2 linked regions of the Callithrix jacchus genome follow. The protein of the gene in region 2 purifies or fractionates together with the protein of the main gene of each other region. This does not show direct contact. Links are inferred from orthologs where the notes say so. Each region holds a gene or a part of one and is shown on either strand. Other genes may lie near its edges.

Region 1 (17,301 bases), on a different chromosome or scaffold from region 2:
CTCTACTGCAGGGCCTGGCATATGGAACATGCTCAGTAAGAGTTAAGTATTGTTATTATTACAAAGCATCTTATTTTCTTTCTTTCCTTTTTTTTTTTAAATTGAGACAGGATTTCACCATGTTGGTCAGACTGGTCTCGAACTCCTGACCTCAGGTAATCCACCCGCCTCAGCCTCCCAAAGTACTGGGATTACAGGCGTGAGCCACCATGCCTGGCCTTTTTTTTTTTTTTTCTAAGACAGGGTCTCAATCTGTCACCCAGGCTGGAGTTCAGTGGCTAGCTCACTGCACCCTCAAACTCCTAGGCTCAAGAGATTCTCCCGCTTCAGCCTCCCAAGTAGCTGGGACTACAGGTTCACACCACTGTGCCTAGCTAATTAAAAAAAACTTTTTAGAGATAGGGTGTTTTTATTTCTTTTTCACTAATGTGAGATGGGGTCTCGCTATGTGGACCAGGCTGGTCTCGAACTCCTGGCCTCAAGCAATCCTCCCATCTCAGTCTCCTGAAGTGCTGAGATTACAACAGGTGTGAGCCACCACGACTGGCCAAGATAGGGTCTTTCTGTGTTGCCCTTGTTGGTCTTGAACTTCTGGCCTCAAGTGACCCTTCCACTGTGCCTCGTTCCTATATTTTACTTTTTTTTTCTTGTGCCCTAATCATTGCACTATCTTGTAGCCATACTTCTTCTATGCAATCCATTCTGTACTCTTAACTGTATCATTTTCATCCACTCCTTCTCCTCCCAGTTTAAAAGCCATTAATGATTTCCTATCACCTATAGGATAGAGTTCAAGCTGCTTAGCCTGGCACTCAAAAAGCCCTCCACAATCTCGTTCTTTTTTAGCCACCACTTCTGTAATGTTTTTAAAAGCACATAAGCATCTGGGTTTACACAGTGGCTTGGCTCATGCCTGTAATTCCAGTGCTTTGGGAGACTGAGGCAGGAGGATCACTTGAGCCCAGGAGTTCAAGATCAGCCTGGGCAATATAACAACAATCCATCATCTCTACAAAATATAAAAACTAAAAAATTAGCCAAGTATGGTGATGCATGCCTGTAGTCCCAGCTACTCAGAAGGCTGAGGTGGGAGGATTATTGAGCAAGAGAGGTTGAGGCTGCAGTGAGCTGTGACCACGCCATTGCACCCCAACCTGGTCAACAGAGTGAGACTCTGCCTCTAAAAAAAGGAAATCACCTAAGAGATTTTTAGATGACCAGAAACTCCAAAGGAATCAATAGAGCAATAGACCATTGTGGTAGCCAGAAAACCTGATATGCCTAAAGCAGCATTAATAGAAAACCAAAGTGATGAGAATATTGATTATTCCGCTGAAGTCTATTCTAGTCAGTTCATGACTGAAATAATAATTTTAGGTCTAGATGTTAAATTTAAAGTTATGTTGTCAAAAGACACTATGTTAAAAATAAAGTTATCTGGGTAATATGTAATGTGGAAAGTGCTATATGATATGGTTGAAAGAACAAGACATGGCCGAGTGTGGTGGCTTACCTGTAACCCCAATATGTTGGGAGGCTGAGGGGGGCAGATTGCTTGAGGCCAGAAGTTCAAGACTAGCCTGGGCAACATGGTGAAATCCAGTCTCTACAAAAAATTATCCAGGTGTGGTGGCATGTGCCTGTAGTGTCAGCTACTCAGGAGGTGGGGGTAAGGGGACTGCTTGAGCCTGGGAGGAGGAGGTGGCAGTGAGGGGAGATGACACCACTGCATACTCAGCCTGGGTGCATGTGCAAACAAAAAACAAAACAACAAAATAAAAGCGAAAGACAAAACTAGACACAGCTGGGAAAGGGAAGCCTCAGGAAGACACCATGGTTTATCTTTAAATATCAGAAGGACTTTCAAGTGAGAAAAACAATTGCATCTGTTTTCCAGAGAAGTTAGAGAAATGTAGATTTTGATTCAACAAAAGGAAGAATTTATAATAGTTAAGTCAGTTAAGTCCCCCCCCCCCAAAAAAAAATGAAGGGCCAGTTGCAATGGCTCACATCTGTAATCCCAGCACTGTGGCAGGCCAAGGCTTGAGGATTGATTGAGTCCAGGAGTTCAAGAAAACCTGGACAACAAAGTGAGACCTTGTCTCTACAAAAAGCAAATATTAGCTGGGTATAGTGGCACACACCTGTAGTCCCAGCTACTCAGGAGGCCGAGGTGGGAGGATTGCTTGAGCAAGGGAGGTTGAGGCTGTAGTGAGCCATGATCATGCCACTGCACTTCGGCCTGAGCAACAGAATGAGACCCTGTCTAAAAAAGAAAAGAAAGAATGTGAAACAGGCTACTATAGGAAGTTCTAAGTAGTCTGTCATTCAGAATGTCCCAGAAGAAGTTGATTAATAACTTTAAAAGAATTTGAATGGAGTGGGGATTTGGACTAAATCAGAAGTTTTCCATTTTTTTCTAGCTAAGAAACCCTTTCCCTTAAATAAAGCTCAATTGCAAAACGTATCAGTGTGAAGCTATTCAGGTTGAAGTTTAAGTAGAATCTTTTCTGATTCTTTTTCTTCTCAACTGGATTCCAGAAAGTTGACAATAAAAGCTAATAGTTTTTATAATTTATATTCACAGTGTATATCCCCCATGGTGTATTATGTGAGGTTTGATAAATATTTATTGAATGAATGAACAATTAAATATGTCAAAAGTTATTTCTCTGGGGCATGCTTTCATTTTTAATAGACAGCAATCTTTTAACCAAAAATCAAATTCCTCAAATGAGGTCCGTTATCCTGGAGTTCCACAGATTCCTAAGAGGGGTATATGAATGGGTCTCAAGAGTTGTGGGAACCTATTCAAATTGTATTGCCAAATTTCGGAGCATGTGTATTTTCCTCGTAAGAGCAGCTATAGCTTTCTTCAGATTTTCAGATGTGTCTATAACCCCAAAAATTTAAGAAACAACTACTTTATTTTAATTGAATTGAACTGAATTTTTTTGAGGCAGGATCTCACTCTGTCACCCAGGCTGGAGTGCAGTAACATGATCTCAGCTCACTGCAGCTTCTAGCTCCCTGGCTCATCCTCCCACCTCAGCCTCCAGAGTAGCTGGGACTACAGGCATGCACCACCAGACCTGGATAATTTTCATTTTCTGTAGAGACAAGGTTTCACTCTGTTACCCAGGCTGATCTCCAACTCTTGGGCTCAAGTGATCCTCCCGCCTTGACCACCCAAAGTACTGGGATTACGGGAGTGAGCCACTGCACGCAGCCAAAGAACAACTACTTTAATGGAAGAATTATAGGTATCTATTACAGCCTGATAAAATACGTATTTGGAGGCAGGAAGTTCTTTTGAATACCCCCAAATTGTGTACCTGCATGTTCTCTTTATTGCAGAGAATAACTGAGGGGACAGACCCTCAGGCTTTCCTAAATACATTATACCCCCCAGAGGATGCGAAGGTAATGGAGTTCCATGATAATGGAAGAGGCTTCTGTGTCTGTGCCCCAGTGTATGCGTACTCAGGCTCTTGAAATCAGTGACCATTTCAGTGGACAGACCTGAGTAAATGAAAACAAAGTATTTACTCCAGGGCTTCAGGCAACTCTCACCAGCCAAAAACCATTTTCCCAGCCCCTACCCAAAAAGGCCCAGACAGTCTGGAGACCCTTGTTTTTGTGTCTCTAATCACCAGCTCAGACAGTGCCCTCTGGACTGTTTGGATGGCATATCCCTTTTCCCTCCCAGGATCACTCTCTCTTTTGTTGCATTGTGAGAAAATTATGGCTGGGAATTTGATCTGGAGCCAGAGTCAGCTTCCGGGTGTGATCTCAGCATCCAAGTGCGAGCTCAGGGTGCTATGACGTTTGGTACATCAAACTGAGGAGCTTTTTGTCTCGTTGGCTGTGACCTCCTCCCTCCCTCCCCTTCCCATCTTCCCAGCCACAGAGTAGGGAGCAGCACAAACAAGGCCCTGAGATTTGGGTTTATTCACCTCCACCCAAAACTAAACCAAGGCTAGGACATGTCCCATGGGACCAAACCATACATTGTGGACCATGCACCTTTCCCTTCCCCCAAGGATGCTGCTACCTCTGGAGTGGTGGGCAGCTGCCCATATCACCGTGGGAGGTAAAGAGGGATTTGCTGGTGCTGGTCTGTGGCAATCAGGGCTCAACTATGGCTGCCTCCTCCTCTTCCTCTGGATCAGGAGGCGCAGGGAGCAGGGAGATGTAGACCTCGTTGACCTCTGTGTCCAAATGTCGGCCACCCCGAGGCGCTTCCAGGTTTAAGATGCCATCATGGGAGAGAGCAGCTCGGACCCGCCAGGGGTCTACGTCAGCAGGCAGGACATAGGTGCGGCAGAACTCTCGGGACACGAAGCCGTGGCGGTCCAAGCGCTGGGGGTGCCGGGCAGACACCTCCAGCAGGTTATCTACAGTCCTCACAGTTACCTCGTCTGGGGTAAAGTGGCTCACATCCAGAAATGCCTGGAACTTGCCCTCACTGAGCCTAAGCTCGGAGGCCCCTGCCCTGCTACCCTCCCCAGCTGGGGCAGCGCGAGGCCGGACATAGTAGCCATGGTAGAGTGTGGGGGTCAGGATCTCTTCCGGCAGGAGGCCTAGGGGGCAGAGAGAAGGCAAGAGGCAGGATGAGGGAGGATGAGGTGGGCACAGGGGCGAAATGGGAAATCTGGAGAGGGGGGATTGGGAAGAGCAGGAGGGGAGTCAGGAGGAGCAGGGAAGGGAACCGGAGGGAGGCCACACAGTAGCTAGGAGGAGAAGGTAGCTGGGAAGAGGGGAAAGAGGAAAGGAAAAGGAGGAAAAGGAAGGGGAGGAGGGAGAGGAGGAGGAGGCACCAAACTGGGCCTGGGTGGATAGAAGGGGGACAAGGAGGCACACTAAGGCAGCAAAGGGCAGGTATCAGCACTGCAGGCACCAAGTCTGTCTTGAGGTCAGCAGGAATGGGAAAGAGCCCTGCTTGGAGGGGATGAGGGGAAGTCTGGGGTGGGGGATGACTGGCTTCAGGAGATCAGTTAAGCCGAGTGGGGTGGAAGCCAGTAACGCTGGGAGGTCAGCCCAGAATTTCGGGAGGGTGGGAGGCAAGGGGGTGGCGTCTGTGCCATACCTTCTCCAAAGCGCTGCTCACCCAGGCGACTCGGGTTGGCAAATTCGTACTCGGCGGTGGCTGGGTGGGCATGTGGCACTGAGCGGCCCGACATGGCTGCAGAAGCAGCGGAAGCCCTGGTCCGAGGTGCAGCCCCAACAGACGCAGCGCGACCCCTCCAGCTGCCGGGAGAGCTAGGGCTCAATAGGAGGTGGGGGCGGGGTCGACACCACCCAAAATAGTGCCGTGCCTCTGCGGGGGAGGGGTGGGGAGTGGGGGCCCTCAGTGAGAGCAACAGGGTGTAACCAGTGCCGCCCGGACCCCTAGTCCCCTCCCCCGAACACTTCAGCTGTTGCAGGGGGTCTGAGAGGACAGCTGAAGGTCCTGGCTGGGAACAAGCTGGGGAGGGGGAGCTAGTGGTGTCTAGGACATGAAGAGGCCTTGCTGAGACCCTCACGAACGGTTTCCACGTTTCCACAGCACATTTCCTCCTCCTCAGTGGCAGGCACTGTGCACCCAATAAATTCCTAAAGCTCTCCTGGATTTAATTAATGTTCTGAGAGCCACATAGGATGAAAGATGCAAGAAGTCTTTTGCTCTTTCTTCAGGGGTGAGGTCTTTCTGCCCAGATGTCAGGGTCCTCCCCTGAACCCAGGTCAACCCAGGGCACGAGGCAGATGGCTGGTACTGACATGTTGACCATCACTGCTCTCTTCTAAGGACTCACAAAGAGTTAATGTCCCTGGGGCCCAGCCTAGGAAGATTCCAGTCCCTGCCCAGGCCCAAGATAGTTGCTGGCCTGATTCCCTTGGCATGCAGGACTGGAGAGGAGGAGGAGGGGCACACCCCCCTATGCCTGCTTGGGATTCCTGACTCTGTCCCAGCTTCAGAGAACAGGGGTGGGGGTGGGTGCCCATTGGGTGTGGACAGAAAGCTAGTGAAACAAGACCATGACAAGTCACTGGCCAGCTCAGACGTGTTTGTGTTTCTCTTTTCTTAGCTCAGTGAGTACTGGGTATGTGTCACACTGCCAAATCCCCGATCACAAGTCTCCATGAACCGGCAGTGAGCTAGGATAATAAAACCCCTGACATCACCATTCCAGAAGCTTCACAAGACCGCATATATAAGGGGCTGGCTGTAGCTGCAGCTGAAGGAGCTGACCAGCCAGCTGACCCCCAACACTCACCTAGCCACCATGGACATCGCCATCCACCACCCCTGGATCCGCCGCCCCTTCTTTCCTTTCCACTCCCCCAGCCGCCTCTTTGACCAGTTCTTCGGAGAGCACCTGTTGGAGTCTGATCTTTTCCCAACATCTACTTCCCTGAGCCCCTTCTACCTTCGGCCACCCTCTTTCCTGCGGGCACCAAGCTGGTTTGACACTGGACTCTCAGAGGTGAGTCTTCCCCTCCCAGGATGGGAGAGTCCTTACTGGAACATCCTGGAAACTTCTCCATCCATTTTTCTTTCCTTCCCTGCCTAAACAATTTTAGGCACATGTGTGTCCAAAAGTGAAGAAAAATGAGGTTGCTAGTGCCTTCCTCCCCTGTCAGCTATTTCTATTTGATGGTCCTCTGTATCCCATTTATTACATTTTTCTATGCACCGTCGAGTTCATCCTCTGTCCCCTAACTTCTCTCTGCAGGATACCCCTTTCTAGTTTGGTTCATAACGATCTGCAGGGAAAGAGCTGCCTTCGAACTCCTTTACTCATCTCTTCTAACACCTCAGACTCTTGACCAATTTTACCATCTCAGGTTTCAGAGCCAGGAGAGAGCCCTGCCTCATCCTGAGCTGTTCATCCCCACTGGGTGGAGCTGGGGCCAACCACCACTATTTTCTGCCTTTCTATTCCTTCTTCTAGGATTTTCTGGGTCCCTTAAGGCTGTGACAGAGCACTGGCCTGGGTCCAACCAAGCCTTATGAGGAAACAATATAGGTCTAGTCTTGGGATCCCCCACTTGTCCTGAGAGGGTGGGAGAAAAGGGTGAACAAATAAGGTTGACCGAAGCTGTTACAGATAACACTCTGGTTTAAAAATATTTGAGTGTGAGTAAACAGGACCTGAGTGGGCAAGGGCTTTGGAAGGACAAGCAGGACCAGCAGAACATTCCAGATTGGGTGGGTGGAAAACTGGCAAAGAGACCTGAGCAAGAAGAAGAAAGGCCTTTGTCTCACAGACAAACCACAAAGCCAGGCATTGGAGTCAGAGAGGCAGCAGATGCCAGGCCTGCACCCATCTTTGTGACTGGTCCCCTGGGTGATCTGTCTTCTTCTCTGTCCCTGGAAATAAAGTTTAGGTCTGATCACCACGAGCCTTAGGTATCACTATGGTGGCTCCCTGAAGCAGAGAGCCGTGTTTATTTAAAAAGGCGATTTTCTTTAAGCAGAAAAAAGAAGGATGAATTACCTGGACAGAAAGCAACTCTGCAGAATGGTAAGACAGCACCAGTATAATTAGTATTTTTGCCATCTTTTTCCAACCCCATTCTCTTACCTTGCTATTTTTAGATGCGCCTGGAGAAGGACAGGTTCTCTGTCAACCTGGATGTGAAGCACTTCTCCCCAGAGGAACTCAAAGTTAAGGTGCTGGGAGATGTGATTGAGGTGCATGGCAAACATGAAGAGCGCCAGGTATGTAGCTTGTTTTTGGTTTTTGTTTTCTGCTCATTCATTCAGTGCATACTGTAATAGTCTCAGTAGAGCTCTCAGCTTCGGAGGCTGGCTACATTCCAGTCCCAAGCCATAACGGTCTGGATCAGGGCTTACAAATCAATGTCTGGAAGACTAAGTTAGGGAGAGACCTACTGCTGTCATGACTGTTGTTATGGCCAGAGATGCGGCTTTTGTTTTATTTGATCACCTTAGATGGGATGCTGATGCCCCATCAAGGCCAGTGGTTCTGAATCTCGGCCACATTAGAATCACCAGGGGAACTTTCAAAAATCCTAATGCTCAGGCATACCCCAGACCAATTCAGTCAGAATTTTTAGGGATGGGACCCAGACATCAGCATTTTTTAAGGTGATTCTAATCTACAGTCAAGGTTGAGAACCACCGATTTAGGGTTAGGGTTGTAAGACACCTAGTTGCTTTGCATAATTACATTAACTACATGTACCCTGAAGGCTCTTGAGTTGTGACTTCTCTTTACTTGTGCAAGAATCCACGTTTCATCTTTAGTCCATCTTAATGCTGAACCACTTGGTTTGTCTAAATTTCAGTCTTCAGTCCCCCTGTAGCCTATGTGGAAATCAGTTAATGAGAGCCTGTTTGGTTACATGCTTGAGAGTCGGCAGGCATACGGGTAAAGGTCACCTACCCTTTGTGGGAATTCTGACGAATGGAACAGCTTCTCATGACTTTGTGAGAGGGCTTTAAAATTGTTTCTTACCAATTAATGATAGCTCAGAACCTGTGCATCAACTAGTACAGTTTGTCCTTAGTAACGTCCTCGAGCTGTTTCCATTTTGCTCATATGATTTAGGTTTGGGTTATAGTCTCCTTGGATGGAGTCATTTTTCTTCTTCTTCTTCTTTTTTTTTTTTTGCAGCAGTCCTATTGTTCTGGAACATTCTGGGACATTCCTGAAGAGTCAGGACAATTTCCGGGTTTCCTCAGGGACTCAGATTCTAAATGAGATTCCAAATTCTGTAGGCCCAGCCAACAGAATTTGATCTAAACCTTTGGGAAATACCCCTAAACATGTCTATGCCTCTGGGTTTGAAAAACAATGATGTATTGGGCTGTTTCAGACTTCTCAGATTCTCACTGGTAGGAATGACTCTACCTAGGCAACTTCATCTTAACTCCAAACCTGAAACAAAGAATTATTTATTCTTCCTATGTTGTCATGGCATCTGGTCTCACCTAAGGGGAAATCGGGATGCTTGAGTTCTGGGCAGGTGATAATATTTCCTGTTTTTATTTCTCTGCCTCTTTCCTCATTCTCTTGGGTTAGGATGAACATGGTTTCATCTCCAGGGAGTTCCACAGGAAATATCGGGTCCCAGCTGATGTGGACCCTCTTGCCATTACTTCATCCCTGTCATCTGATGGGGTCCTCACTGTGAATGGACCAAGGAAACAGGTCTCTGGCCCAGAGCGCACCATTCCCATCACCCGTGAAGAGAAGCCTGCTGTCACTGCAGCTCCCAAGAAATAGATGCCCTTTCTCGAATTGCATTTTTTAAAACAAGAAAGTTTCCCCACCAGTGAATGAAAGTTTTGACTAGTGCTGAAGCTTATTAATGCTAAGGGCAGGCCCAAATTATCAAGCTAATAAAATATCATTCAGCAAGAGATAACTGTCTTGTGTTTGAATATTCCATACACTTTTAAATAAATGTACAAATGCCACAGATCCATTTATGATTGCATTATGATTTAGAGGACGCCAGGGATTTTAGAGTCAGAATGACTGGCTCCACCATTTACTAATGGTATAAATTTAGGCAAGTTGCTTAACCTTTCCGGTCTTCAGGTTTTCCATTTATAACATGGGTTACTGAGTTGTGCAGAGCTATTATAGGAAGTAAATTAAGGAGAAGCAGCAGAAAAAGCCCCTGGCAGAGTTCAAGGAATATTAGTTACTTTCTCTCTGTCCTCTTTGATTTTAGCCCTTAGTTTAAAGGACTGGAGCAAATCTGAATGAACTCTGGATAACGCTATTTAAAAGCCCTTACTGCATCTCTGAAATTAATTACATCGCCAGAGAGGACATGGTGACCCTAATATTGTTTGACATTTTCCTATTGCTAAACATTGCCTTCAGCTGATTTACAGGGGCAATAAATAGGACTTGGGTGATTATAACCTAACAAGCTCTGAGCTATAGTCTAAATCAGTGGCCCCCAACCTTTTTGGCACCAGGGACTGGTTTTGGGGAAGACAATTTTTCTGTGGCCCCAGGGGAGCAGAGGATAGTTTCAGGATGATTCAAACATTAGATTCTCATAAGGAATGCACAACCTAGATCTCTCACATGTGCAGTTCGCAGTAGGATTCTGCTCATATGAGAATTTAACGCCACCATTGATCTGAGAGGAGGCAGAGCTCAGGTTCACTCACCACCTACTGTGCAGCCTGGTTCCTAATAGGCCACAGCCATGGTTCCCGATGGTCTCTATGGCCTGGGGGTTGGGGATCCCTAGTCTAAATTATCTAGCCAACACCTACTAACCTAAGGCCAGGAAATATCCAATTCACATAATACTTAAGTTTTAGAATTACAATTAATAACTGATCAATAAGTGGTTCTATTATTTAGCTTAAAGACATACCACTGTACAAAAAAAAATCCCCCCCCCCCCCCAACAAAAAGCAACCCTCCATTTCACTTCTGTGGGTCTGGACCAACTTCTGATTCACTTGATAAACAGCACTGCTGCAGGTGATCTGGTGTAAATGTTTACTGACAACTCTTATTTTTTCTTTAGCAGCTTCCAGCTAATTTTTCACTTCTTGCAAAATCAGAAATGAGTCAGTTTGGGGGACTGACCAGGGTTTTGAAACATTCTGTATGAAACAATTGCTCCAAATGTTTTTATGGCATAGAGGGAAACAACACATACGGGGGCCTATCAGAGGGTGAGAGAAGGGCAAGAATTGGGAAAAATACCTAATGGATACTAGGCTTAATACCTGGGTTATGAAACAATCTGTATAACAGACCCCATGACACATGCTTACCTATGTGACAAAATGAAGGACAAAAAAGGTCACAGTGAGATACCACTGAGCCCCTATTAGAATGACTAAAATGAAAAATTGACTATACTAAGTAAAACAAAAAATAAATACACAAACTTAAAACTTAACAATAAAAAAATTCATGGTACAGGGTGTGGAGGTAGGATGATACAAATCGCAAATCTATACAGGTTCAAAATGCTTTCTCTTAAAAAACAATTCCCTAATAGTCTGAAATGCTGTGATCTAGCCAGAAGTTTACAGTCAATGTTCGTGGCTCTGTAGCAGACTCTGTTGGTGCCTAACCAACAGCTATTTAACACCTTCAGCCTTGCCAACAGTACCCCAAATCGGTTTATGTATACACCATATTCTTCCTAGCCATGTCCTTCAGAGACGTGAACTCAAGCTCCAGCCACAGGACGTCTATCTTGATTAGTCCAAAGAAGCAGGAAAATTCTCTTCTTGATTTTCAAGATTAATCTTGAAAGTGCTATGACTCAATTATGGCAAATGAGACAGGAGGGAAGTCTGTTGGAGATGCTTCTAGAAAAAGTTTCTAAACTAAGAGCAAGTTTCTAAAGGATTCAGAGAGAGAGAGAGATCTCTTTTTTTTCTTGCTCTGGATGTTGGAGCATGAGAATGTGATGCCTGGATTACTGTAGCCATTTTGAAAACATGAGCGGGGCATTCACAATAGGCTGAGCACAAAGACAATAATCTCAGGTCCTTAATGGGTCAATGAATTGCTGAATTAGCCAACTCTAGAGTTTCCCTACTTCAGGCTGACTGATTATGTCTTGTTTTTGTTTAATAATCTATTTTGATGTGGGTTTTCTGTTACTAGCAAGCAAAAACATCTGATATTATAAAGGCTGAATTAGATAGTACAAAATAACCGAATGCCTGGAAGCCATGTGTCAATTTTAATCATTTTAGTGAATTACCAATTCCAAAGCAATGATTGCCTTGGTTTTAAATAAATCACAACTTTGACTATTAGAGAATGAAATGTGTTTCAAACATGTGCAGGATTACATGTTTTTGTTTATTACCATAAGTGTCTAAGTTAGACTGGTTTTCATTGTTATTCTTTCTACACCACACCCTTTGCTGTGGCTATGCACAGCTAATATTTTATATATTATTTTATACTAATATTTTAGCATAGGACTATTCTAGTACAGTACATTTGAAGGGTTTTTTTAGCTATATAGCTAGCTCATCCAGGATTCTACTTCATTCCCTATATCTGAATTATGCCAGAAGTTTATGGAGGCAATTCTAAATAGCATTTGTTTTATTTTTTAATATTAGCTAACATTTACTGAACACTATATTAGTCCATTCTCACATTGCTGTAAAGAACTACCTGAGACTGTGGAATTTATGAAGAAAAGAGGTCTTCGGGAATTCAAATGGAGATATTCAATAGATAGTTGGATATTTATATCCAGTGTTCTGGAGATGTATTTGGGATAGAAGTGTAGGTTTAAAATTTGGAATCATATAGATAGGAGTTAAAGGCATAGGATAGTATCACCGGGGGGTAGAAAAAGAGGAGCAAAAGGGCGAGCCACAGAATCACTGGAAATGCAAACTTAAGGGATTGGCAGAGAAAAGTAAGCTCATAAAAGAGACCTAGTAATAATCAGAGAAATGAGAGAAAAACACGTTTAGCACAATGTCACAGAAACCAAGGGAATAAGATTTCAAGAAGTAAAAGGTGGGTGGTCAAGTGGACTATCAAATGCAAAATCTAAAAGTAACATATGAGCTGAAGTATCCACTAGATTTGGTAAAACTTTCACCGTCATAGAAACACTTTTAGGAAACTGGTGGGTCAAAGAGGAAATGGGAGGTGGATTTCTTGACAAGATAGAGCAGTAAGCTCATATCTGATGCAATCCCGCGGCTGTAAACACACAGCAATGGTAGAATTTTTAAAGTAGAAAAGATAAATGATAATACCGACAAATTAAATTATAAAATATTTAAATAAATAAAATTTAGGAGGATGGGTCTATTAGACTCTAGATAAAAGACAGTGGCAGCTGATGAGTTCAACTCCTACAGGTAAAGGGACTAAAAGTGCTCAACCTAAGACAGAAGAAACAATTGGATCATGACAGCCAGTGGCTGTGGTGGGATTTTCCCACTTGTAAAAGAAAGACAGAAAAATCCTGTCCATCTGCCTTCTGGGGTTATAGTTGAATAGAAACTGGGCTTAGTGAGGTGGAAAGACCAAGATATAGCCTCCTGATTCAGAATTTACACATGATATCTTTTTTTTTTTCTGAGACAGAATCTTGTTCAGTTTCCCAGTCTGGAGGACAATGGCACAATCTCAGCTCACTGCAACCTCTGCCTCCCGGGTTCAAGCGATTCTCCTGCCTCAGCCTCCCAGTAACTGGGATTATAGGCACCCGCCACCAGGCTTGGCTAATTTTTCTGAATTTTTAGTAGATATGGGGTTTCACCACATTGGCCAGGCTCGTCTAGAACCCCTGATCTCAAATGATCTGCCTGCCTCAGCCTCCCAAGGCGCTGAGATTACAGGCATGAGCCATTGCACCCAGCCTACATGTGATATCTTATAGCTCAGTGATAGCATCCAATATGACAGCAGGACAGTAGCCCCATTCATCATTACAAAATCCCATTTAGAACTGGGAAGGAGAGAGATGTAAGAAGCGTGATGAAGGCAACTGCAAAACTACTAGAGAATAAGGAATGGTGGACATAGAATCAGAGAAATAAAGAAGGAAAAGCAAACTGAGAATCTATTAAAAACCAACATTCCAAACACATGAAGAAATCTCATAGTAAGAAAGATAGGCAACAATAAAATCAACAATAAGAAAAATGAAGGACCTTGGAACCCACCCATTCTTTTACTTTAAGAAAAAAACAAGTAATTGTTGCAGAGGTATTTTATATTTCTGTATTTTGCAGCTGCCTTTTGGTAAGAAGCACCTTTTCCAAATTAAAAAAATTTTAATAAAAATTAAAATGAGGTGCTTGAAGCAGTGGCCCACACCTCTAATCCTAGCACTTTGGGAGGCTGACACAGGTGGATCACCTGAGGTCAGGAGTTCAAGACCAGCCTGGCTGACATGGTGAAACACCATCTCTACTAAAAATACAAAAGTTAGCCCGGCATGGTGGTGCCTGCCTGTAGTCTCATCTACTCAGGAGGCTGAAGCAGATGAATTGCTTGAACCTGGGAGGCAGACATTGCAGTGAGTTGAGATCTCACCAGGCACTCTAGCCTGGGCAACAGAGTGAGACTCCTTCTCAAAAAAAAGGGGGAGGAATAATTTTATTTAGAAAGGGCAAGAAATACTAAATTAAAACAAGCAGAATTTAAAAATAGGATGGACATGAAAAAACCATTTAGACGTATTAGAAACTGATGTTATGAATGCTATCAGGAACAAAGTTACACGTTTACAAATTGAAAGAAAGCTGAGGAATTCACTCAGAATACAGCAAATTAGAGGAAAAGATTTTTTAAAATAAGAACAGTTAGGATATATGGAGGAGAAAATGAGAAACCAACATGTATCCAAATAGGTGCTTCTAAGAATTAATAGAGACAACGATAAAGCTTTATTTGAAGAGATTTTTCAGAATTGAAGATGTGAGTCTTCAGATATTGGGCAGGATACATAATACTAAATTGCACTTAAATATATGATTGTGAAAATCCAGAACAATAAGGATCAGAAAAATCTTAAAAGGTCTGAGGACAAAAAGGTGTATTAATTACAAATAAGTTACGATTAGATTGACAGCAGACCTCTCAGCATCAGTAAAAATCAAGACAATAGAGTCATGGCTTCAAAGTACTGGTAGAGTAGAAATAGTTGTTAACTCAGAGTTTTAGGTAAGTTATCACTCAAAGTACAATATGCCACGAATGCAAAGATGGCTCAATATTGGAAAATCTCTATAAATTTACTATATTAATAGACTAAAAGAAAATAAATCTTATGATTATCCCAACTAATGTGTGGTTCAGCTTCTCTATTTACATGGAGGGAAACTTCTGTTAGAAAATCAGAAATAAAAGAAATTTCCTCAAGTTGGTAAATACTATATAATAAAAACTTAGTGCAAACATTATAGTTACCAAAGAAAATTTAAAATCATTTCATTCCTTTGAATATCCTGAGCAAGACAAGGATGCCCATTATCACTCTTAATATTTAATACAGCAGTAAAGGTTCTGACCAACGCCATAACAGAAGAAAACGCAAAGAAGAGGTGTAAGAATTGGAAGGATAGAGATGAAACTGTTATTATTTATAAATGATATAATAATCTGACAAAACAACCTCAAAAGAATCAACAAACAGGTTGGGCATGATAGTTCATGCCCGCAATCCCAGCACTTCGGGGTGCTGAGGTGGGAGGATCGCATTACCTCAGGAGTTTGAGACCAGCCTGGACAACATGGTAAAACTCTGTCTCTACTAAAAAAATTAAAAACAAAAACAAAAAATTAGTCAGGTGTGGTGGTGCACACCTGTAGTTCCAGGTACTTGGGAGGCTGAGGTGGGAGAATCACCTGAACCTGGGAGTTCGAGATTTGAGGCTGTAGTGAGCCAAGATCACATCACTGCACTCCAGCCTGGGGAAATGGGAGTGAGACCCTGTCTCAACAACAACAACAACAACAACAAATCAGAATCAACAAACTATTAGAACTAACAAGAGAGTTCAGCAAACTTGCAGAACACAATCTCAGATTATGGAATACTGTGCTGGTTATCTACTTCTGCATATCAAACTACCTGAAAATTTAGTGGCTTAAAACAACATTCCTTTTATTCAGTCTTACTAGGTGGTATTCAGCTGGTAGACAGTCTCATCTATAGGTTTTAAGTAAACTTTCATTCCTGATACCTTGGCACGGACGGTTGGAAAGCTGGGGCTCAGATGGGCTTCTCTCTCTGTCCACATAGTGTCAGGTCTCTCTACAAGATCTCTCTAGCAGATAGACTTCTTACATGGCGGCTTCTCCGGGAAGGAGTGTTCCAAAAGACGGAAAGTGGGAGCTGCAAGGTTCTTAAGAAATTTACACAGTGTTTCTTTTGCCATATTTTTTTGACCAAAGCAGTTGCAAAGCCTTTCTACATTCAAAGGGAAGGGCACAGACCCCCTACCTCTTAGAGGAGGGAGAGTAGAAAAGTTTTTGGCCAAACTTAATCCTCCACAGGAGCTTACAGAGAGGGAGAAAATATATAATATCACAAAAATTCACAAGGAATAATGGCATTAATAGCAGTAATATACAAGGAACTCCTGAGAATAAGCCAAGGACAGCTATTCCAAATTAAAAAAAAAAAAAGACTATGCACAGGACATTTATCCAAGTGGAAATCAAGAAGCCAACATGGATACAAAGGAATGCTGAAAATAACTAGTAATCACGAAATACAAATCAAAGTAACAACAAGCTATTTCTTTACAACAGTGTTTCACAATATTGGTATTACCAGTATTTTGGGCCAGACAATCTTTTGTTGTGGGGGCTTGTCTGTACCTAGTAGGATATTTAGCAGCATCCCTGGCCTATACCCACTAGCTGCCAGTAGACACCCCCCTTTGGAAAATAAAAAATATCTCTAGAAATTGACAGTTATCTCCTGGGGGATAAAATCATCCCAGGTTGAGAACCATTGCTTCATACCTATCAGCCTGGCAAAAAATAGAAAGCTGGTTAATGTTTTTTTTTTTTTTTTTTTCTTGAGACAGAGTCTCACTCTGTCGCCAAGACAAGTGCAATGGTGAGATCTTGGCTTACTGCAACCGTGGTTTCCCAAGTTCAAGTGATTCTCCTGCCCCAGCTTTCCAAGTAGCTAGGACTACAGACATGTGCCACCATGCCTGGCTAATTTTTATATTTTTAGTACAGACAGGGTCTCACCATGTTGGCCAGGCTGGTCTCGAACTCCTGACCTAAGGTGATCCACCTGCCTCGGCCTCTCAAAGTGTTGGGATTACAGGTATGAGCCACCACGTTAATGTTAAGTGTTAGCAGAGATATGGCAACATAGGAAGCCTCGGGCCTTGCTGGTGGATGTGTGAGTGGCACAGCTATTCTTGAGAGCAATAGTCAAATTAAATGTAGATATACCTCAGGACTCACCAATTCAGCATGTGGGTAATTTGCACAGGTCCACAAAGGAATATATGTGAGGATGTTCTCTGCAGCTTTGTCTGATAATGGGGAGTTGGAGGCAAATTAAAATGTGGTGGCAGAATATCCTGTCCAATAATAGCAGACATATTTTTCTCAGTGCACATAAAACCTTCCATAGGACAGAGCATGAGTTAGGCCACAAAACAAGTTTTAACAAATTTTAATAGACTGAAATCATACAAAGTATCTTTTCTGATCACAATGAAATAAAATTAGAAATCAATAACAGAAGGAAAAATGGAAAATTCACAAACTAAACAATACACGCTTAAACAACTACTGGATTTTAATTTCTTCTTTAGAAGAAATCATGAGGGAAATTGGAAAA
Region 2 (15,768 bases):
CACGCTACATTTAACTTGAATCTTTACCCATTATTTCTTATTGTCTATGCAAGGGAGCCACAGACTTTCACACGTGAACATTCACTTCTTCTTGCTCAAAATCAACTGAAATTTAGACAAATCTGAAGAGAAGTGACTTAAATTGGAGTATTTTACCTACGGAAAGTTCTGACATCTTGCCGATAACGATGACATCATAATGAGCACAACAAACATGTTTTGTGAAAAGGTTTCTAAGGGACAGCCCAGTGTCATTTCTAGTCATGGCTGTTTCTCACTGCCCACGTCTCACCAAGGAGGGAGGTTTTTTGAGTTCATTTCAGGTGGTAAGTACTATGTTATTTTCATGGATTAGAGTATTGCTTCCCAAATGCAATTTCGAACTGCATAAGGTTAGATCCTGAGGAATGTGTATGTGTGCGCATGTGTGATAAGCCTTTCCTTGGAAGTATTATCCTTTAACCTGGGATTATGTCCCTACTTCGGGGTTGAGAGGGAAATGATGAGGTTGGAGTTAAAATGTCTTTCTTGGGCCGGGCGTAGTGGCTCAAGCCTGTAATCCCAGCACTTTGGGAGGCCGAGGCGGGTGGATCACGAGGTCAAGAGATCGAGACCATCCTGGTCAACATGCTGAAACCCCGTCTCTACTAAAAATACAAAAAATTAGCTGGGCATGGTGGCACGTGCCTGTAATCCCAGCTACTCGGGAGGCTGAGGCAGGAGAGTTGCCTGAACCCGGGAGGCGGAGGTTGCGGTGAGCCGAGATCGCGCCATTGCACTCCAGCCTGGGTAACAAGAGCGAAATTCCGTCTCAAAAAAAAAAAAAAAAGTCTTTCTTGTTATGAATAATGGGTGATAACTCTAAAAAACGTTACCTGGCAAAAATGAATGATGGATTTTTTTCAAATCCATAAAATGGGAAGTTTGTAAACACAACTAAGTTATCTTATTACTCTGTTCCCACATAGTGAAGCTCATTTTAGCATGAGATCAGTGTTCATACAGCAGAGCACACACCCAACATCCTCGCCCTTAGTTCCACATTTCCACAATGGTCTCTTGCATGCCACTTCATTCTTCTTAGTCTCACCATTTTCATGACCAGATTTGTGGCCCCTCCAACTCAGACAACCTGTTTCTGACCACAGCCTCCATCATTCAGTGCTGGTGTTCCAGTCCTCCCACAACAGCGGATCTTCACGTCCATCAGGGCCTCAGGCCATGGATCACACGTCTTATTCCCTATTAGTCCCTTTTCATTTCTGTCTCCCCAGCTTAGAGTCTGAGTTTACCAATTCAGAAAGTTATTTTGCAGTACCCCAAAATGTGTGCCTCCTCTGCCTTTTTAAAATAAATGTGGGCAAAAGCCCAAAGTGTTACTGGGTAGATTCACACAGCAGCGCAGCCTGGAACACTGCACATTGCTAATGGTTGGTTTCAACTGGGCACCTACACATGGCCCAGCGACCTTTCTAATTTCTGGTCAACTCCCACTCCTGACAATGATTGTTTCAAGCCTCTTCTAGCCCTCGATCTCACTATCATTTCCCTAACTTTTAACAGAGTTCTTGTCTTCTGCTTCACAGAAAATGTAGAAGTTACAGTAAGGGAACTTCCTGCCACAAAAACTACAAATTTAAGTTCATTCACACCCACCCTCTCATACTTTCCCATTTAAAAAAAAAAAAAAAAAAAAAGTTTCTTTGCCTCTTCACACCCCACCCCCGGCTATGCTCGGATTTACTGCCTGGGGCTCTTAGGAACCTTACACTGTCAGTTACCTTTGCCTCTAGTGTCTTCAGTCTTTCTCTTAACTGGATACCCACCATCAGCATTAAACCTCCTCAAATCTTTCTCACTTAAAAACCCCAAATCTTTTAACTCACCTTCCCCTCCAGCTCCAACTTTCTCTTGTGTGGAAGCTGCAGTGTATTTAACCTGTCTCCTTCACAGTTGAGTTGCTGTCATTTTCTAACACCGAAACAATGTTGTGATGAAAAGCTCGTATGTAATTTTGTACACACATAGATGTATGGGTAGGCTGGATTCTAAGAAATGGGACTGCTACTTCAAAGAACAAATAATTTCATAGGTATTGTCAGATTCCCTCCATAGGGAATTTCACCACATTGCACTTCCACCAGTGGGAGAGGATACATTTCCCACATCTTGCCAACAGAGTATGTTCCCAAACTGGGGTTTCTGCCTGTCTGACAGACGACAGATGATACCTTAATGTGCATTTCTCCTATTATGATGCAGATCAAGCTCCTTATTGAATTTCAGGGACATTTGGATTTTCCTTTTTTTTTTTGAGACGGAGTTTCACTCTTGTTACCCAGGCTGGAGTGTGATGGTGTGATCTCAGCTCACCATAACCTCAGCCTCCTGGGTTCAGGCAATTCTCCTGCCTCAGCCTCCTGAGTAGCTGGGATTACAGGCACACGCCACCATGCCCAGCTAATTTTTTGTATTTTTAAGTAGAGACAGGATTTCACCATGTTGACCAGGATGGTCTCGATCTCTTGACCTCGTGATCCACTCGCCTCGGCCTCCCAAAGTGCTGGGATTACAGGCTTGAGCCACCGCGCCTGGCCTTGGATTTTCTTTTTCTGTGAACTGTCTGTTCATGTCCTTGGCTCATTTTCCTGTTGGGTTGCTGGTCTTTTCCTTTGTAGTATGACACTGCTTTACGTAGCAAGGAGACAAGAATAAGCCAGATTTTCCTCAATGCTTTATAGAACCACTGCTTTCTTACGGGCTTAAAGAACTCATTCATGCCACTCTTGATTCCTCGGAAATGAGGTCCCTTTTCCTAATTAGGACAATTTTGTTTCTGATTTAAAAGTAATATATGCTCCTTATGGAAATACTGGAAGAAATTTACAACTACCCACAACCCCACTTTCCTATATTCCTTTTCTAAGCATATGAAGTAAAAAGACAGCAGATTCCTCTGTCAAACTCCCGGTGCCCAGAGGAGGCCATCAGTAAAAATCAACCGCTTGCTGCGTATCTCCTTAGGCTGCTCTTCCCATTAGACACATTTAAAATATACCTCCTTGAAGAAGTTTCAAATTCACAAATATGGTCACATTTAAGGCCTGAGATGTATGGACACAAAGTATCTTCCTGGCACTGTGGTCATTTCAGGGTCAGGACCTTCTGTGAGGACCTGGGAAGCATTAGGGATCTGTCTGCCCCGTTCAGTCACTGCTGCCTCCTCAAAACACCCGGCAAGGGTTCTGGTGCCTCCTCTTTGACTCTTCCAGATCAAGCTTCTGGTGAAAAACACTTTAATTTCCAACTAGTAGCACAACATCAAAAACAACAGAACAAAAAACTCAAAACACATCGGTTATTTTAAGTTTGAATCTATATTTTGAAAAAAAAGGAAAATTTGTACAAAGTTGTCACACAGGAAAACACTTTAAGATATCATTACCTGCTACGTGTATTTACAAAAGTTACAAATTTAGTTAAAAAAAAAAACCCTGTCATTAACAAATGCGAATTCATTTTTTGAGCAACAAGAAATCTCCTGTGAAATGTCAGACTGAAAGCAGGTGAGACTCGGTGTAGTGAGGGCTCAGCACCTGCTGAGTGGGGAGGCCTAGAGTCTGCCTCCCGGGCTGGGTGCGCAGCTCTGGCCTCTGGCTGGAAGCCATCTAGAGTCCTATATGCCACTGTCGTTTTCTTTCAGTAAACAGTATAAAACATTACTATTTTCCTTTGATTGTAAACATCAACAGAATATAACATGCTTAAGAATTTTACTACAAAGAGTGCTAAGAGTTTTATTGTGACTCACCACCTTTACATTTCCATTTCAGAAGTTTCTGATTTGGTTCACTTTCTTACTTGGCAGTGGGGCCCTGGCGGCAACTTCCAGACACACCAGTGTATTAAGAAGCGAGCTGCAGGCCCTTCCTGAAACCATGGTCTATGGTTCTGCCTGCATGGAACAGGCTGTGCTGTGTCTCCGCTCAGGCTCAAACCATCTGCTCTCACGTTACAGACAGCTCATCCCATGCATTGATTGCTTTCCTCACATTCTACTTTTTATTATGTAAGCTGTATTTTCATATGTTCCTATATAATTTATTCACATGATCAGGCTGGTAATCAACAGTTTGGGGTTCTTATACAATAGCTCTTCAGATCTATTGCTGGTATGTGAAGCTCAACTGATTTGCGTAGGGACAAATCAGAAGGTATTTCTGCTGGTGGATCAGCTGCATTGTAGCACCTCACAGTTAAAACTCCACCCCTACAAATGTTATGTTTTAGCCTTGAGAGTCAACCTAGCTTCCTCACACTTTCTCTCACATAAAATACTTAGTGTCTTTCTCAATATTAAACAGCATTATTAATTTTTTTTTACAACAAAGGTGTTTAGGACAAAAATTACAAAACCATTATCCCAGGTAAATGGTTTAAAAAGGCAGTTGACTCACATTTGCATATCAATTCTAAAGAAAAGTTCGCGCTTTTGAGCACGCCCACAGATGACTAAGTTCTTCCACATCATTTCTACAGTGTGACAAAACCAGATTACACAGTCTTAAGTGGGAGGAATATCCTAAAAATTCATGACTTCAATTACTTCTTCACAATTCCTTGAAAATGCGTAGCATAGCATCACTATAACTTGCTAGTCATGGAAGCTACAAATCAACAACCATTGCCTTTCATATTGACTGCACCGGTATCCATTTTTATTTACTTCTAATTCAATTCAGTTGCAACTACCTGATTGTACGTTTGAGGTAGCTTCATAGTGGATCTACCTGATGGAAGGAGTATGTCTCAAAGTACCCTCTGCAGCATGAGAGCAGGTTAAAATGAGAGAGGAAGACAGCAGCAGGTATACTGTCTTCTCACTTGTCATACAAACTAAAAAAAAGCACCAGCCAACCATTTCTTTACTGATAAAAATACAGTTCTTTCGTGAGCATGGAAACAATACATGGAATCTGTTTCTTTGCATGAAAAGTAGCATCAAAGGAAGAGGACTCAAATTCTGTTGCCACCTTTCGGTTAACCCGGGTCAGGATGTGCATGAACTCAAGCTTGTTGGCATACAGCTTCAGCATGGCACAAAGCGACTGGATGAACCAGGAGCCGTCCCTTGAATTTCGCCAGGAATAATAACCTACAAGGCAAAATACAACCAAAATACCATGGATAGTTGATTGTAGTTGATTCTATAAATTATTACGTAGTCAAAAAAGGCAAAAATAAGCACAAACTCATTAACAATACAAAGAAAAAAGACACCTTTGGTTTCAGAAGCAATGATGTGGAAGAAGGAAGAACGTGTGCTATGCACACACTCACACCCCTGCTTTTGGCAAAGAAAGGGACTGCAGACTAGCTTCACGAACACTGAATTATTGCAAGTTTTACATTCTGGACTCCCCTTTCAATAGGCAAGAACAGCAAACACGCAACAGATAAGAGGCAAACGTGGAGCTCTATAAAGAGGATTATAAGTAACAGTGTTCCGATCACATTTCACCTGATTTTAATACTGACTTAGCCAAGAAATAAATTGCTTTGAGTGTCCTATTTGTCTACAGAGCATCTGAATAAAGTATAATACACATATTCCAAAGGTCCAAAAAGGGAAAAGAGTGTATTTATCATACTTTTCTTTTTCAGGTTAACTGTTGGACCCATTGCTTTTAACTTAGAGGTACTTTGCTGAGGAAGAGGCCTAGGGGATAGAGGAAACCACACTGTGCACATATTAAAATGCGACACTGCATAAAAATACATTTAGTTGGCTGGGCACGGTGGCTCATGCCTGTAATCCCAGCACTTTGGAAGGCCGAGGCAAGCAGATCACCTTAGGTCAGAAGTTCGAGACCAGCCTGACCAACATGGAAAAACCCCACCTCTACTAAAAATACAAAATTAGCCAGGTGTGGTGGCACATGCCTGTAATCCCAGTTAGTAAGGAGGCTGAGGCAGGAGAATTGCTTGAACCCAGGAGGCAGAGGTTGCAGTGATATGAGATAGCGGCATTGCACTCCGGCCAGGGCAAGAAGAGCAAAACTCCGTTTCAGAAAACAAAACAAAACAAAACATTTCCCATTTCCTTCAGGTGTCACGCCCTCTGGCACCCTGAGTAGTTGTATAAGTAAATGGTGGCATAATCAACAAATATTTCTTTTTTTTTGAGGAGTTTCGCTCTTGTTACCCAGGCTGGAGTGCAATGGCGCGATCTCGGCTCACTGCAACCTCCGCCTCCTGGGTTCAGGCAATTCTCCTGCCTCAGCCTCCCGAGTAGCTGGGATTACAGGCACGCGCTACCATGCCCAGCTCATTTTTTTTGTATTTTTAGTAGAGACGGGGTTTCACCATGTTGACCAGGATGGCCTCGATCTCTTGACCTCTTGATCCACCCGCCTCAGCCTCCCAAAGTGCTGGGATTACAGGCTTGAGCCCCTGCGCCTGGCCCTCAACAAATATTTCTTTAGATGACGACAGGTACAGCAGAACTGTAAACAGTGGAGATTAGCAGCATATTCATATGTCATTTCTTACCTTCTTTGTTATCTCCCACTCCACATCTATCCTCTCATATACTAGTCATGTTTATCTTTTTTATTTACTACCTTTCAAATAATTCCTGAGAAACATACTTCTCTTCTTCTTTAAAATGCAGGGAAGCTCTGTTTTGGCCTCTGTTGCCATGTAATATTCTACCTGGTAAAAAGTCCAATGAATGACATTGCTCTAGTCTACTCTATGTATGCATATTTTCTTTTCTTTTTTGAGAAGGAGCCTCGCTCTGTCACCCAGGCTGGAGTGCAGTGGCACGATGTTGGCTCACTGCAACCTCTACCTCCCAGGTTCAAGTGTTTCTCCTGCCTCAGCCTCCCGAGTAGCTGGGATTACAGGCACGCGCCACCACACTCTGCTACATTTTTTATATTATTAGTAGAGACAGGGTTTCACATTGTTGGTCAGGCTGGTTTTGAACTCTTGACCTCAAGTGATCCACCCGCCTTGGCCTCCCAAAGCAGTAGAATTACAGGCATGAGCCACTGCACCCAGCTATTTATGCATATTTTCTAGCCAAACTTTTGGCTAAAGACAACTTTTGGAGACTTCTCTTTGATGAAGGTACCCTAAAATATAGACAAGTTTGTATCTTTAGGGATATCAAAATCTTGACAGTCTCTGAAACACACTCTTCACTGTATAATTTTATGATTAGTCACAGTAAAATTCATTTGAAATCCACATGTAACATTCATTATGTGCAAGGTTCTCACCAGGTGCTGTGGAGTATGCATACAAGAAGTCGGCCTCCACTGGTATTTTATGACACGCCATGTCATCATCAACACCGCTGTCCGTCTCAATGCCACAGTCCAGTTCTGTGCCACGGCAGGCCTGGGCATTAGAAAATAAATATTTATTATAAAAATTTGTGTGTGCACATATAACTTATTTCTAAGAAATTGAAACACTATGTAAAAATGGATGTTAATTATGTTGTCTTTTTGATATGTAAGTATAAAATTAAAATTTACTCCGTATCTTTTAAGTGGTAGTTTAAGTAAATGAAAAGTAACGATAGTTTCTTAGCTTCAGGAAAAAAACCACACATCCTTTGGCTAATTTACAATTGAGAAAATTAGCCCCTGATTAATCTTCAATCACCAAATCACTCAGTTACGTTACCTGAATAATGAAAAGTTTGGGTTTTCCAGTTAGACTTCTACAACAATCCCCTCTGAAAAAGCTTGTTATTTTTTTCAGGTCAACAGGTCCATTGGTTCCAAAAATTATTCCTTCTTCACCATGGCTCAGAAGCACACAAACGAAACTGCTCCTTTTGCTGTGATCTTCTTTAGAAACTGAAAAGACATTTGCACATAAAAGGAAAAAAATCCATGACTTCATTCAACAACTTCAGATATACTGTATGGGAACATGATGAAGAGACAGAGTAAAACTAAGAGATCATCTTAACCGAACCTGGGCTCAGCAACGTATCTGAAACTATTTTAGGAAGTGGGCATAAGTAACTTTTTTAAAACTTCTTACTAAAATAGGTAAGATTAGAATTATGTATCATATAATTCCACAATTCTCATATTTTAGAAGTTCACCCTTGTTTCCTACCATTACGCATCAGTTCCACAATCTCTTCGCGTGTGAGATCGTTTTTATTCCTGACTTCATATTTCAAGTTCATGAAAGTTTCCCTGAGGTTTGCTGCATCCACATCTGTACCAGACCGAGATGCCATTCCTTGGAACAGAAAGAAGCGCTTTTAATTATACTGAAAACAAAGAATAACTACTTTGACATGAAATGAGCTACTCAGCAATTCAAAAGTCCACAATAAATTCTTCCTTTCAAATGAAAGAGAATTCTAACTATTTTGATCATGGTGACATAAAATCTCTTCAATTTTGTAGTAAGACACTTGAAACCATAACCTTATTAGTGTTATAGCCAAGATATCTTTCATAGCTGTTTAGGTAGTAAAAAACAGAAACAACGTACATGTCTAACAATAGGGGTTTGGTTAGACACATTATACTCACTTATATAATGCGATATACTATGTTGTCATTTTCAAACATAAAATTTTGCCATGGGGAAATCATCATTGTTTAAAAAAATAAAACTAGAAAACAATACGATCCTATAATACATACATTTATCTATCACACTCAGAAGAACTGCGTTTCTGACTCTAGCTTCCCAACGGTTTGGAGATAGCATTATAACATTCACAGTGTCTTCAAGGAAAACCCCCAAACGTTGTTACTGCTCATCAGATATTCTGCAGTGGGTAATCTTTAATCCTTCCCGTCACCGTAAGAGCTGTATGATTACCGGTTTCACGTGTGCAGATGTGGGACATGCAGTAAAGTTAACAAACTAGCCCAGAGTGACAGAGTGGTGCTGGGCCTCTATCCAGGGCTCCTGGCCTTCCTACCACTCCTTTAAAGAACCTTCCACATTCATGTACAGATTGACTGCATGACGCACTGAGACTTCAAAACGCTGAAATGTTGGTGGGAAACACACCTCAGAATTGAGTAAATTTGAGGTGTATGAAGACTAGATACAAAAAGTCTATACACATCTCCAAAATGTTGTTGATTATCTCAGCTGTGTGACAAGGTCACTGGCTTCTGGTGCTGGTGTGTTGGCTGCCTTTTTAAAAACTTTTTTTGTTTTTTAGACATGGTCATGCTCTGTGGGCCAGAGTACAGTTCACTGCAGCCTCGACCTCCCGGATCCAAGCTGTCTTCCCACCTCAGCCTCCCGAGTAGTCGGGATCACAGTTGCGCACTACCACACCCTGCTAAGATTTTTCTATTTTTTGTAGAGATGGGATTTCCCTGTGTTGCTCAGACTGATCTTGGACTTTGGTGCTCAAGGATCCTCCAGCCTTGGCCTCCCAAAATGTTGGGATTACAGGCATGAGCTATGGTACCTGGCCCAATCCCAGCCTGCCAGAGATCTCATGAGAACCTGACTTTACATTGCAAACTAGGAAAGGAACTCACTGAGGGCAAAACCCAGATTGCTGGTCTAAATACGTGGGGGAGGTGGTGGTGGTAGAGAAATGATATGCCTGTTTTTGGTTTTTTAAACAATGGATCCAAATGCGAAATTCTACAGGAAGAAGGTATCCTAACTAGATAAACGTAAGGCAGAATTATCTAGAACTAAATTTTCACATATGTATAAAGCAAAAGTAAACAAGGTGTTGTGTTTTTTAAGTTTGCGGTTGAAGGCGGCATCTCAACTTGTAGCCGAAAGCAATACAAGTTCCATTTAGAGCTCCATTATCTCATCACTCCTTACAACTAACCTGACACAGGCCCTGCTGTCTTCCCAGTGTAATCTGGCTTCCTTTCATTTCCACCACGACTCTGAAAGGTACTGTCCTAAATTAGATCTACTATAGCTTCTCTAACTAAAAATTAACTCTAATATGATTAATATGCCAATTCAAAGAATTGTCACGGCATCAATTTAAAAGGGAAACAGCCATAAGGGTCATTTATATAGTAAGTTATGCAAATTAAGTGAATGGTGTATTTTGGGGATGCGGTATTATATAATCGTTATAACAGATATAAAAATTATGCAGCAATATAAAAAATGCTATTACTTTAAGTGAAACAAGCAGAATACAACATTGCTTACATGTTATAAATAAAATCAAGCTTTAAAAAAACTGTCAAGTAAAAATATCAATACACCAAATGTTAATTAGCTTTTTTGGCATTGTGAAGGATTTTATTATCTATATTTCTAAAAAATATATAATTCTCAAATGTAGTACCACATTCGAGTACAGAAACCAAGAGGGGGCTCTATCTGGTGGTCAGGCCATGGTATGTTTAAAGAGAGCAGGTCAGTGGTAGAGACAAAATAGAAAAAGACTCTAGAAGGACTGGAACAAGTGAAGAGTACAAGCTTAAACTACATGTTTTCAAAATTTAAGCAAGAAGGGAAGAAGATAAATATCAAAGGAATTAAAAGGAACAGGATAAAAGAAAGATCTTTCTAAGATGGGCAATCTCTGTCAGCTTCGTAGGGTAAGAGAAGACAGGCAATAGAGCCCATGAAGATACAAGGAGGTGAAGCAGAACAGGAGATGCATTCAGAGCTCGGGCTTTGGAGTGACGCAGACTGAGCTCTGCCACCAGGCTACCTGCTCTGACTGTGCAAGGTTTAAAAACCTCTCAGAATGGAATTGTTTCTTTCCGGTTGTCATACAATTAAAGAAGGCAATGCTTGTGATATGTCTTGAAATTTCTGGGGAAAAAATAAATACTACTACTCAACTGTTTTTTGAAAACCTTCCGTTGGAATCAAAGAGGGAGCAGAAAGGCGAAAAAGCAGCAAAGACTGTGGAGAAGTCAGGACAGAAGAAGCATACAGACAGGAAACCAGCTGACGGGAGAGGAGACAGTTCACAGTGTCACAGTGCATCACACGGCCTGAGCGTGCTGCCCGGTCTCTACTTCACAGCTAGTCTGTGTCATAGTTTAATGACTAATAATACCGCAATACTGCTTTCAATATTATAGCAAATGTAAATGGCACAAATATTTAAAAAAGATTAAACATAATGTAAGATACATACCAGTGCTTTTATGAAAGTTCTTATTATTAATTATTAGACATAAACCCATTTCAGGATAATCCATTTTATAACTGCTGTCCAGGGATATACCAGAGTCCACTGATTTGCTTCCATGTATGATCTTTCTGTTTAAAAATCAAATAATAGCTTTACAAAGGTAGAAATGACCATGCTTTCTGTTTACATTAGTGCAATTTCTATAACTCACAGTAACAGTGAACACTTGTTGAGTGCTATAAACCAGACTGTCTCCATTACAATTTCACATCAACACATGTTCCACATGAGCAAATGACCTGCCATGAGGCTAAGAAATGTGCCAAGATTGTGCCACAGCCAAGAAGGAAGGGAAGTATCTGCTGGACTTCCGAGTTCAGGCTTTTAGCTTCCATGTTTTACATTTTCCTCTAAATTCTTAAAAATTTCACCAAATACCTTTATAATTTAAAAATTACTTATCAATTTGTGAAATATTTTATTCTTGGAGGTAAGAGTAAAATCTTAAAAGTTACCCTGAAATGATGGGAAATCAACAAAATGTAAATATAACTCAAAGCACCATATTTATCACAATAGTTTCTTAAATCCCATGAGCTAAACAAATTAGTCATTTATTAATATATAAAAACATTATTGTAAATAATTGAAAATATCTGTAAGTCACTTATCTAAGAAGAACCTCTGCTATCTAGATAAGGGGGGCAGTAAACTTTTTTTTTGAGATGGAGTCTCACTCTGAAGCACAGGCTGGAGTGTGGTGGCGTGATCTCGGCTCACTGCAACCTCCACCTCACGTGTCCAGTTCAAGCAAATCTTCTATCTCAGCCTCCCAAGGAGCTGGGATTACAGGTATGAGCTACCATGCCTGGCTAATTTTTGTATTTTTTAGTAGAGATGGAGTTTCACCATGTTGGCCAGTCTGGTCATGAACTCCTGACCTTGTGATCTGCCCAGCTCGGATTACCAAAGTGCTGGGATTACAGACGTTAGCCATTGTGCCCGGCCAGTAAACTTTTTTTTAAATGGGTTAAATATTAAGTATTTTAGGCTTGTGGGCCATCTGGTCTCTGTTATAGCTACTAAATTCTATTTTCTTTTTTTCCTGAGACATGGTGTAGCTCTGTCGCCCTCGCTGGAGTGCAGTGGTGCCATCATAGCTCACTGCAGCCTTGAACTCTTCCCTTCCTCAGAGTTTCAAGTAGCTAGGACTACAGACAGGCAGTCCCCACCATGCCCAGCTAATTTCTGTATTTTATTTTTGTAGAAACAGGATCCCGCTACATTGCCCAGGCTGGTCTTGAACTCTTGGCCTCAAGTGATCCTCCTGCCTTGGCCTCCCAAAGTGCTGAGATTACAGTTGTGAGCCACTGTACCTGGCCATAGCTATACAATTCTGCTGGTGAAACTGACCTAGGACAATATGTAAGGGAATGGGTGTGCCTATATTCCAATAAAACTTGATAAAAGCAGGCCTCAAGCTTGATCCCTGATCTAGACCAAGAGTCAGGAAAAAACAGGTCTAGGAACAGCCAAATACTAATCCTTACAGTCCATATACCCATGCACTTAACCGTAGAGTATCTCCATTATACACAATTCTAAAAATACTCTTGGAAAAAGATTAAATGTAGTCAATTAAAAGAGTCAAGTTTAGGAAAGAGTTATTATTTTTAACTAGAGGTGAAGAGCCTCACATTTACAGATTAAATTTAAATCCTGAAAGTGTGACTTGACCTTTAAGTCACACAGATAATGGATCATGGAACTATGATTCCCAGATCCTGACACCCGTTTCCTACTCGGTACTTTACAAGCACATGGTAGCTAGTCCAAGAGGAGATGCTCCTGATAAAGGCACTGGCTCAAAAAGCCGGGACTGCCGAGGGCAACTTGTCACAGGATCAAAACAACCCTAACCTATCTGGGGCTCTCTCATAACTTGTTATTGAAGTGATGTTCTGTATGACATGAAAAGGTAGTGCTAGGCAGGGTGGTTCATGCCTGTAATCCCAGCACTTTGGGAGGCCAAGGCGGGTGGATCAAGAGGTCAAGAGATCGAGACCATCCTGGTCAACATGGGAAACCCCGTCTCTACTAAAAATATAAAAAATTAGCTGGGTATGGTGGCGCGTGCCTGTAATCCCAGCTACTCAGGAGGCTGAGACAGGAGAATTGCCTGAACCCAGGAGGCGGAGGTTGCGGTGAGCCGAGATTGTGCCATTGCACTCCAGCCTGGGCAACAAGAGCGAAACTCCGTCTCCAAAAAAATAAAGGACTTTTTAAAAAAAGAGACAGGGTCTTACTCTGTTGCCCAGGCTAGAGTGCAGTGGTGCAATTATAGTTCACTATAACCTCTGGTGCATAGCTACGACGGCCTATAAGCGCACGCACTACGGTGGACTAATTGTTTTTATTTTTTTAGAGACAGGGTCTCATTATGTTGCCCTGGTTGGTTTCAAACTCTCACCTCAAATGATCTTCCTGCCACATCTCCCAAGTAGCTGGGATTATAGGAGCAAGCCCCTACACTGGCTAAAATGATTTAAATCAAGATAACGACTTTCTAAAATGGGATTGCATTTCAAAAGTTTTCTTTCTAGAAAAATTCCTTTGCTAAACAAAAATTGTGAATCTTTACTGGTAACTTGTTAATAGTGTTTCTGTAATAATGTTGTTTAGTAATAAAATTAGTTTGTAATTTCAAGGGCAGCCGAGAATAATAATACTGGGTTTCAGAAATAAACTTTCAGAATTTAAAGTATCATAAGAGTGCCCAAATAAATAATAACAAACATGAATTAAAGAGAATTTGAGTTTTATCTTTTTCCATCTGCTAGTTATTGGAAGCATTTAAGCAGAATATTCCAAAAAGACAAAGGAAAAAAAGGGTAAAATTCATCCATAACTAGGCAATTCCTCCCGGAACTGAAAATTAGCATTGCATTTTAGTCTTAAAAACTCATAAACAAGAGGTCAAAAAACTCTTCCCAAACCCAAAACCTCTAATCCTAATCCTATGGAGTGATTTGGGAGGGGAGAAAGCACCCAGACTTGGGAGTTCTGCCTCTCCTGTGGTATCCTTCTGGTTCCAGAACCATGTTTCTGACCACGGTAATAGGCCTTTCCTTTCATCTTCCCTTCAGTTTTTTGAAAGTTTTAGCTCCATTTTAAAGATGAGGTTGAGAAAAGAAAAGTGAGTTTATGCAAAGCCACACAGCTATCTGAGGCAGGACGTCGGCTTGGTCTCTCCGGCCTGAAACAGAGACCACTCTCGTTCTGAGTGTCCCATTCCTCAAGGTTTGCTGTTCTACAAACCCCCATCTTTCTCTGACTATGAAGAATCCCACTGAAATACTCACAGTTCCGAATTTTTAATGGATTTTGAATCCACTGAGTTTTCAGTGTTCTCCATGGATACCTTTATTAACTAGAATATAAAGAAAATAGAAGTTAATAAAAAAAATCAGTCACAGAACCACTGTATTATCTTAATTATCTCCATGATTATTTTCCAAATTAATACCTCATTTTCACGTCTACTGTTAAAGGTTTCTGTGAGTCAGTTCTGGGGATAGTGATGTTTTTGCAATGGTACATACAATTTAGCCTCTCTCTTTCCAACTGAGCTGTAAATTATATATAGTGAGTTACATAAAGCATATAGATAGAAAGTGTACATCTAGATGTTTTATATTTATATATCTGTATCAGATCAAGATATAGATTACAGTTTATTTCTTTTGTAAGACAACACATTGGGTCATTTCTAGGAATTGCAACTCAACGCAGTTACCAAAAATAAAAAACTTCCCACCACAATGGTACAACTCACACCATACAATTCTACAATGCTTAGATTCCCAAGATACAGTATCAAGATGTTCCAAATCTCCATTAATCCTTATTCTTTGTTTTTTTTTTTTCATTTTGAGACAGGGTATCACTCTGTCACCCAGGCAGGAGGGCAGTGACACAATGAGCTTCGACCTCCTGGACTCAAATTCTCCTGCTTCAGCCTCCCGAGTAGCTGGGATTACAGGCGTGCACCACCATGTCCAGCTAATTTTTGTATTTTTTGTAGACGTAGGGTCTTGCCGTGTTGCCCAGGCTGGTCTTGAACTCCTGGCTTCAAGCAATCCGTCCAACCAGGGCTCCTAAAGGGCTAGGATGAAGGCAAGAGCCACCACGTCCAGCTTAGTTTTTATTCTTAAACTGGATTTTGGAAGCAAAGCTTCTCATTTAGGGTAGTAAAATGGCCCAGGAAACCTTAAAGTAAAGACTACAGTTCCTGCTTTCATTCTCCATCACACAGTTATATCTCACAAGGTGAACCCGTTCTCATAAGCAAAGCAACTGCCACTTACTGAGCCCTTCATATTTACCAGGTACTTTGCAAGGCATTCATTTTTAATCTTTTCAAAATTCTAAAAGTCAGGAAACCCAACCCTGGTGGGTAAGTGACTTCGTCGATAGTCACAATCTAAGTGACAGGGCCCTCTTCCCACTCTGCTATGCTGCCTCTGAAGAAGCCAGCTCCTTACTACTTTTCTATAGTTCTACCAGCTAGTCTCTGGCTTTCAGAAGCAAAGGTACTTTCCATGGCAATCCACCTCCCTAAACAGAGAAAAACA

What was found.
Region 1: the proteins of CASP3 (region 2) and CRYAB purify together in Homo sapiens (affinity purification with western blotting; 3 studies listed by BioGRID). This does not show direct contact. The link is inferred for Callithrix jacchus from reciprocal best matches to the Homo sapiens genes CASP3 and CRYAB.

What each region holds. Positions count from the first base shown.
Region 1 is NC_133511.1:11,608,679-11,625,979, reverse strand, and holds CRYAB (alpha-crystallin B chain), read left to right. Parts: upstream 1-6,220; 5' UTR 6,221-6,266; coding exon 6,267-6,467; intron 6,468-7,338; exon of another isoform or gene 7,339-7,472; coding exon of another isoform or gene 7,473-7,508; intron 7,509-7,582; coding exon 7,583-7,705; intron 7,706-9,032; coding exon 9,033-9,236; 3' UTR 9,237-9,373; downstream 9,374-17,301. Other genes in the region: HSPB2 (heat shock protein beta-2), read right to left, coding at 4,129-4,583, 5,090-5,183; uncharacterized protein LOC118145697, read left to right, coding at 6,069-6,126. UniProt on the Homo sapiens protein: May contribute to the transparency and refractive index of the lens. Has chaperone-like activity, preventing aggregation of various proteins under a wide range of stress conditions.
Region 2 is NC_133504.1:6,750,839-6,766,606, reverse strand, and holds the end of CASP3 (caspase-3), read right to left. Parts: intron 14,680-15,768; exon of another isoform or gene 14,661-14,679; intron 14,565-14,660; coding exon 14,497-14,564; intron 11,263-14,496; coding exon 11,138-11,262; intron 8,272-11,137; coding exon 8,143-8,271; intron 7,875-8,142; coding exon 7,699-7,874; intron 7,408-7,698; coding exon 7,287-7,407; intron 5,156-7,286; coding exon 4,926-5,155; 3' UTR 3,362-4,925; downstream 1-3,361. UniProt on the Homo sapiens protein: Thiol protease that acts as a major effector caspase involved in the execution phase of apoptosis. Following cleavage and activation by initiator caspases (CASP8, CASP9 and/or CASP10), mediates execution of apoptosis by catalyzing cleavage of many proteins.